2 linked regions of the Oryzias latipes genome follow. The protein of the gene in region 2 interacts with the protein of the main gene of each other region in a pairwise test. Links are inferred from orthologs where the notes say so. Each region holds a gene or a part of one and is shown on either strand. Other genes may lie near its edges. The genes, in order: clip4 and janus kinase and microtubule-interacting protein 2.

Region 1 (3,825 bases), on a different chromosome or scaffold from region 2:
CGTGTTTAATTAATTTTATGCATACACAAGCCGCGTCAGAGTACAAGCCGCGCATGTGTTAGGCGATATTGTCATCCTGACAGATCACGGCCAGTATCCCAGAGTGAGTGCAATTCATTAGCACATTGTGGGTGGTTCCAGCTTTGCCTCTGGGTCACGTATTTGGGTGTATCGACATCTGTCAAACAGCATGGACCTCTATTCTGTTCACAAGTTCCTCAGTTATGGTGTTTTTATTTCATTTTTTTTTACTTATTGACAATCTAGGTATCATACATAAAATTACAAACAGTAACCATATAATCAATATTACATCCCTCAGTTATGATGAGGAAATTTACATCCGCGATTCCACATTTCCCATGAGTCTTAGGGGCTAAAGGCGGGGCCAATGCCCGGCTCGCCATTCTGTTGTACGTGTTTAAGAATGAGCAAGTATCAGCAGTGCATGGAGGGGTGAACGGGTACAGCTCTCCTTCCGCTTGTGTCGCGGCAGCGTTATGGGAGTAACAGGGCTGGTTAAAAAACACACCGGTAAAATACAGCAGCGGCGACTGAAAAGCGCGCGCCTCAGCGTGATACGCGCGCCTCAGTGCGGCGCGTGCGTCAGAATTCAGAAGCCTCTGCACTCCGCGGACGCCTCTGCGCTCCGCTCCCGCCCCGCGCGCTCCTTGTCTCCCCTTCCTATCTACTCCGACACCTCTGGCCAGGGCGGCTTCAAGGAGGAGCACTTCGTCCCCGTTGCGCCGGTGAACGGAGCAAATCGTTTCTGTGCAAAGCAATCTGACTTAATACTGTACGTTTTGTGTATGAGGGGCGGATGCGTTGTTACGTGTGGGAGCCTTCAGACTGCCATCGGCCCCGCAGCTCAATCAGCAGGAGAAGATGTCTCCAGCTCACACGGAGGCTGTGAGTTTTTCAAAGCAAAATTCCGCTTTTACGGTTTCCTTAGAAACCGTAAATGGAGTGTAAATTCACTCCATGCGCTGTTCTCTCCGTCACGCAGCAAACCGGCTTTTCCAAACCCGTTGGTGACGGTGGACTTTTTTACGCTGCTTTTAACGATTGCTTTTAACTTGAAAGCTTCATCATATTGTAACGGCGATCTGGTGCACGTTGGGTCTAATGGCACCAAAGGATTCTGGGATGCGGCCGGGCATGCGTGTTTCATTTTGTTGAACCATGACTGAAGTGTCTAAGACCTGAAGTCAAGTCCATGCTGTTTGGCTGCTTAGAGGTGTGTTGAATATAAATGCCTTGTGCTTGGTGTTAGATAAAGAATTCAAACTATTTACTGAGTTCGAAAGTACGTACATGGCGGCCGCTAATTAAATCCATAAATTAGCCGCGTCACTGAATAAGCCGCAGGGCTGTAAGCGCAGGAAAAAAGTAGCGGCTTGTAGTCCGGAAATTACGGTAATGACTTTTTGTTTTAGCATGACTTTTTAAAGTCATAAAACTGATGTTATGTATTTTCAGAGCACTGGCAGCTCCGCACTAATGTAGATGACCAGCAACTATTGATGATGTCATCAAGAGTTAGTAACATTCGAATGGACACTATTATTCTATATCTCTCCGCTTGGAGGGCTAAATGTAGGGGTAGGGAGAAGCAGAAGGGACAGGGGAAGAATTCGGATTCGGTCAACAGTCAGCACTAACCAATGCCTGGAGCCCCAGCCTTGCAACAGTAGTGCAGAAGACTCATATCTGTCAGGCCATCTCGATCATTTACTCCACAGCCCCTCTTCAAGATCTGTGCAAAGACCAGACATGTAGCAAGTCAAAAGGAGATCTCGAATGTCACAAAAATTTAATCCACAAATATTTAATGAATGACAAGTGGCTGGGCTTGAATTAAGATCTGAATAAAGACCATGTGGAAAATAAACATGCAATGGGAGACTATTAGAAACGGAATTAACAATTAAAATACTTAGTAAATCACATTGGGGGGGGGGGGGGGGCAAAGAGTTTAAAATATTATATAATCACCTCACTGCCAATAAGGTGGATGTTTTTCTGAACCTGGGGAACCCACTGCCTGAGGACAGCAAACAGCTCTGGTATGGTGGTGTTTGAATCCTGGAGAATCTCTTTGCATTGTGGCTCGCTGGGATTGAAGAAGGAGAACTCTGGCAGTGATGGGAGACACAGAAATGACAGATATGTAAACATATAAACTCTAATCAAACCTTTCATTTTGCTTAGATTTCATGTAAGGATCAGTTACCCTCAATGACAGTAAAATAAGAATGGGACTGAACAACCCTTCCCTACTCCCGTTCCAATTAGGAAGTACCCAATGGTCCTAAAAAGCCAAAACCCCATAGACTTCTATGGAGAAATGAACAGCTATTACCGTAAATTCCGGACTACAAAGCGCACCCACCCATTTTCACGTGTTTAACTGCTTTTAATCATACACAAGCCGCGTTGGAGTAAAAGCCGCACGCATTAGGCAACATAGTAAACCTGACCAATCACGTCCTGACTCCCAAACTGAGTGAGGTTTAAAACCACACTGTGGGAGGAGTCAGCCTTGCCTTGGGCTCATGCACTTTGAATATACCCACACCTGCTAAAAAGCATGGAACTCTATTCTGTTCACAAGTTCCTCAGTTATGGTTTTTTTATTTATTTATTTATTTTTAGTTTTTTTTACTTATTGACAATCTAGGTATCATACATAAAATTACAAACAGTAACCATATAATCAACATTACATCCCTCAGTTATGATGAGGAAATTTACATCCGCGATCCCCCATTTCCCATGAGTCTTAGGGGCTAAAGGCGGGGCCTCGCCACATTGTTGTACGTGTTTAAGAATGAGCAAGTATCAGCAGTGCATGGAGGGGTGAACGGGAAAAGCTCTCCTTCTGCTTGTGTCGCGGCAGCGTTATGGGAGTAACAGGGCTGGTTAAAAAAAACACACCAGTAAAATAAAGCAGCGGCGACTGAAAAGCGCGCCTCAGCGCGGCACGTGCGTCAGAAGTTTCCTTCCACAACAAACACTGTTGCGCCGCGGTCGCCTCTGCGCTCCTGGCTCACCCCGCGCGCTCCCCTTCCCATCTCCGACACCTCTGGCCAGGGCGGCTCCAGGGAGGAGCAAATCGTGTCTGTGCAGAGCAATCGGACTTAATGCTGTACGATTTGCAGATGAGGGGCGGATGCGTTGTAACGTGGGGGAGCCATCAGACTGCCATCGACCCCGCAGCTCTATGTGATGAGCAGCAGGAGAACATGTCTCCAGCTCACACAGAGGCTGTGAGCTTTTCAATGCAAAATTCTGCTCAGTCCTTAAAAACCGTAAAAATGATCACGTCGATTTGTGTTTCCAGTCGTGTCCCGACAAAATAAAGGCTGATGTTATTCCCACATATTTACGTGCAGCCAGCCGAGTCACTATGACTCAGAGGTAAATTCACTCCTGAGCATGCGCTGTTCTCTCCGTCACGCAGCTGACCAGCTTTTGCAAACCCGTTGGTGATGGTGGATTTTTTCACGCTGCTTTTAACGGAGGAGATTGAGGAGGAGGAGATTGATTGACAATGTATACATCCAGACAAGATTCAGGCCCTGTAAAAAAAACAACAACAAAAAAACAAGGTGAACCGTGATATAGCAAGAGAACACTGTAGTGGGGAAATGCCTGCAGAGTTTTGTTTACCTGAAGTGTCTTAACTCGAGTTGAAGTTTATGATGTAGGTCAAAACTCATCACAGCCTTGATAGCACCACAGCAAATCGTGCGTCAAATTCAAGTTGGACTTTCGACGTGCGTCACATTTGCACGCTTATCAAAAAATGTGTTCATAAACTTG
Region 2 (3,825 bases):
GCCATGCCAAGATCAAAGACCAGGAGAACCAGAGACTCAAAGCTGCACTGAATGCCATGCGAGATGGCAGCGGCGAGAAGGTATGGTCAAGGTTGATGGCTGAAGCAAGTTTGCTGTTAAGAGATGCAAGAACACTGTATCTTTCTGCTCTTCAGGTGCGTACCGCACTCACGTTGGAGGCAAAAGAAGAGGCGCGCCGCTTCTTTGACCAGGAAAGAGTGAAGCTCCTGCAGGAGATCGCAGAGCTGAAGTCGTCTAAGAAGCAGACCGACGAGGCGCTCAGCAACATGATCCAGGCAGACAAGATGAAGGCTGGGGACCTGCGGGTGGAGCACCAGCAGCATCAGGAACAGATCTCCAAGATCAAGTGGGACTGTGAGCGGGACATTCGCAGACTGGTATGCACAAAAATGCTTGAAATAAAAACCAATCAATTTGAAACAACTGAACTAAAATGAAAATACACTCTTGATGTGGAATATTCTTGGTGCATTGTCTTAACAGTTGAAAGGCAAAATTCTTATTTAAGATACTTCTAGCAAAAAAAGCTCTATAGGTAAACAATAACGTGGTTAAAAAAAAAGGTAAAAAACTATGATTTCTAGAGGGGCAACCAATCTTGGCTGAACTGTGATTCGTACAGATCAGTAGCCACGATTCGAAACACAACGTGTACGTAAGGGTTAATGGCCGACGTAGTGTGCATTATTACTTTTTAACGCACGCCGTGGAAGGCTGAACCGTCCGACGGATGCTTCCACGAAGTGCGTTAATGGCGAAGGCCATTAACCCGCTCATGCCATGGTCACTTACAAAAGCAATACATATTAACCAGTTTCAAGATTTGGCGATATATATATATATAATGCTGATCTTTCCGATGGGTTGAATAAAGCATCAATTCAGAGAGAAAGTTCACCTCTTACCGCTTGTTTTTTTTCCAAATGATGAAGCAAAGGGTTGTTTCAAAGAAGTGATACAAAACATTGAAGCTAGGTGACCTGAACTTCTTTTTTCACCATGCGGTTATCACTGTGGTATCACTTTTTAATGTACACCCAGCAGCCAATCAGAATCGAGTATTCACCCGGACCATGGTATAACTTGACTTATTTTATTTTTTACTGGTCCTAAAAAGCTGTGAAACAATCCAAACTGAGTTTTATGATCTGTTGCACCCCTAATGAAATTAGTACTAAAAAAATCTAAATAACTTAATTAACAAAATCTCCTGCCTGATTACTAAAAAATTCAAGAAGCAGATTTCTTGTTTCTTTGCCTATGTCATACTTTTATGGCCTATGAGCTGTTAAGACATGTAAATGTTCTGTGGTCTTTGTGCTTATTCTGATTCTGAGAACTGGTTCTAATTTTACTTTGCCGGTTAAATCAAAACGAAGACAAAAACTGGAACATTTGATCTAATGACACCAGTATTTTTGTTCTTTCTAGGTAGATGAAATCAAGGCGAAAGATCGCACCATTTTTGCTCTGGAGAAGGAACTGGAGTCAACGACAGGCTTTCTGCAGAAGCTGCAGCTCCAGAAAGATGCTCTGGATGAACAGCTGTTTATAGCCAAAGAGGCCGAGTGCGGCCTGGGAAGTCCCAAAAGAGAGATTCCAGGCAGAGCTGGAGATGGAGCCGAGCACCACGGCAGCCCTGTACGAACAAAGCCACGCATTTTTGGAGCCAGTCAAACATTCACATTATTTCAAATAAACTATACTAGCCTCTTATTTTAACTACCTTTTGTATGATGTCTGGTCATGCGGTAAACCTGGATGCCTTTTTTTCCCTTTTTAATTCACTTTAGGACTTGAGGAGGAATCAGAGGCGCATTGCTGACCTGAACTCAACCATACGGAGGTTGGAGGACCGCAACTCACTGTTGGGCGATGAGAGAAATGAACTGGTATGACCAAGTTCTACAAATAAAAGTGAAATCTAACCCATTGTTTCAATATTTTTGGCCTTAACCTAACATCAGGGGTGTCCAAGCTTTGTTCAAAGAGGGCCAGATTTGGTGAGGTGAAAATGTGTGAGGCCAACCAATCAGCCTGCATGCTTTGAACATTAAAATATAAATGAACAATTTCACAATTTTTTTTTTCTTGCGCAACGGGATCATTGTCACATCTGGGTTCACATGAAATTTCACATATTATTCTCTATTAAGTACTAAAAATAAATCATGTGAACAGGAAAATAACAAATAGTGATATTAAACTGAAGTACAAACTACTGTAGTTTTGATCAGAGAACAAAAAGAGGCTCTGAAGGTCAGGTTGGTGCCACAGGTTTAAAAACGCAGTTTAGTCAATCACAATCAAGAAATCGTGGTTCTTAGAAAGTGCTGGGGCTGCATATTTATGGCAAAAGCCCAAGGATCCTATTTGGCCCACAAGACGGACTTTGGACAGGCCTTTAGACTACCCATCTTCTGACTCCTGGTCATTCCCTTTTTTTTTATGTCTCTCTCTACTAGCTAAAGCGCGTTCGTGAAACAGAAAAGCAGTGCAAGCCTCTGCTTGAAAAGAACAAACTGCTGAGTAAAAGAAATGACGACTTGACGATGACCATCCAAAAATTGGAGGAGAAGCTGAAGAACCTGACAAAAGAGAATCTGGAAATGGTTCGTACGCTAGCATCCATAACAGATTTATAGATTTTGTGATCTAACATCTTGCATGCTCCTGCAGAAAGAGAGAATGAGCTCCCATCCTCCTCTCAAGAAGCTAAAGTCACTGAATGACTTGGACCAAGCCCACGATGACCAGGAAATCACATTTCTGAAACTTCAAGTCCTGGAACAGCAAAACATGATTGATGAACTTACACGGGTAGGTTTGACTTTAAATGATTCTGATTCTGATTCTGATTCATTTCAGAATCAGAATTTCTGATTCTGATTCTGAAATGACTGGAATTTAATCGCCATTTTCTCCAGCACTTCTGCCAATTTTCAGTGTGACGGAAAATTTAGAGAGACTGGTTTTAGAACCAATTTTGTAACCCTTGTGCTATCCTAGGCACTTTAACATTGGGAGTTGGGTCATTTGGACCCCACTAGACAGTGCGCTGAACTTTTTTAATCAGTGATATGTGATCTTCAGTGGTGTCTATGGATGACATGAAATCCTCTTCACCTTTATCCACCTTTGTCATGGTAGGGAGAACACGTCAATGTAAGGGTGGGGTCATCTAAAATAGCACAAGGGTTAAGTACACCAAGACCCCTCTGTTCAGCTGTTTCTCCCAAGTGTTGTGAGAGCTTTTTCCTCACATTGTGAATGAATTTCACTGTATTTTATCACAATAAAGAAGATACTATTATCAGTAATAAATTTTCATGGCTCTTCTAGTAAAACAACGGGGAAGACATCAAAATTGCTTGTTTTTTTAATTTATAGTCTTAAACAGGAAGAAACAAGTTCCATGAGCCACACAAACTAATACTGAAAGGGCGGTGCTTGCCCAAAGCGAGTGCTGTCCTTCCTTTAGGCCCTGTTTAAAGAGAAGACCGTACTTAACATTGTTCACAAAAACAAGTGTAATCGAGTTCTAGCAATTATCTCATTCAGTCTTTTTGACATAAGAGAAAAAAATTTCGTTTACAGCCATTTGTTGACTGACTTATTGACAAAGCATGTTTGCATGTTAAGGCATAAAAGCAGATCATCATCATCAGAGTGTCTTCTCCCTTCCCAGAAAACTTTTGTTCTGAGAAAAACAAGCAGATTGATTAAAATTAACATTTCATCCAAAGTAATTCAGTTTTTATTACTACAGGGTAACGTGATGATAAACCTGCTGGATCCATACAT

The links.
Region 1: the proteins of janus kinase and microtubule-interacting protein 2 (region 2) and clip4 interact in binary tests that used the Homo sapiens proteins (3 or more experiments, as listed by UniProt). The two-hybrid records come from large-scale screens. The link is inferred for Oryzias latipes from reciprocal best matches to the Homo sapiens genes JAKMIP2 and CLIP4.

The regions. Positions count from the first base shown.
Region 1 is NC_019880.2:28,201,383-28,205,207, forward strand, and holds part of clip4 (CAP-Gly domain-containing linker protein 4), read right to left. Parts: intron 2,136-3,825; coding exon 1,996-2,135; intron 1,757-1,995; coding exon 1,663-1,756; intron 1-1,662.
Region 2 is NC_019872.2:5,582,588-5,586,412, forward strand, and holds part of janus kinase and microtubule-interacting protein 2, read left to right. Parts: coding exon 1-80; intron 81-155; coding exon 156-398; intron 399-1,452; coding exon 1,453-1,662; intron 1,663-1,814; coding exon 1,815-1,913; intron 1,914-2,486; coding exon 2,487-2,633; intron 2,634-2,700; coding exon 2,701-2,841; intron 2,842-3,825.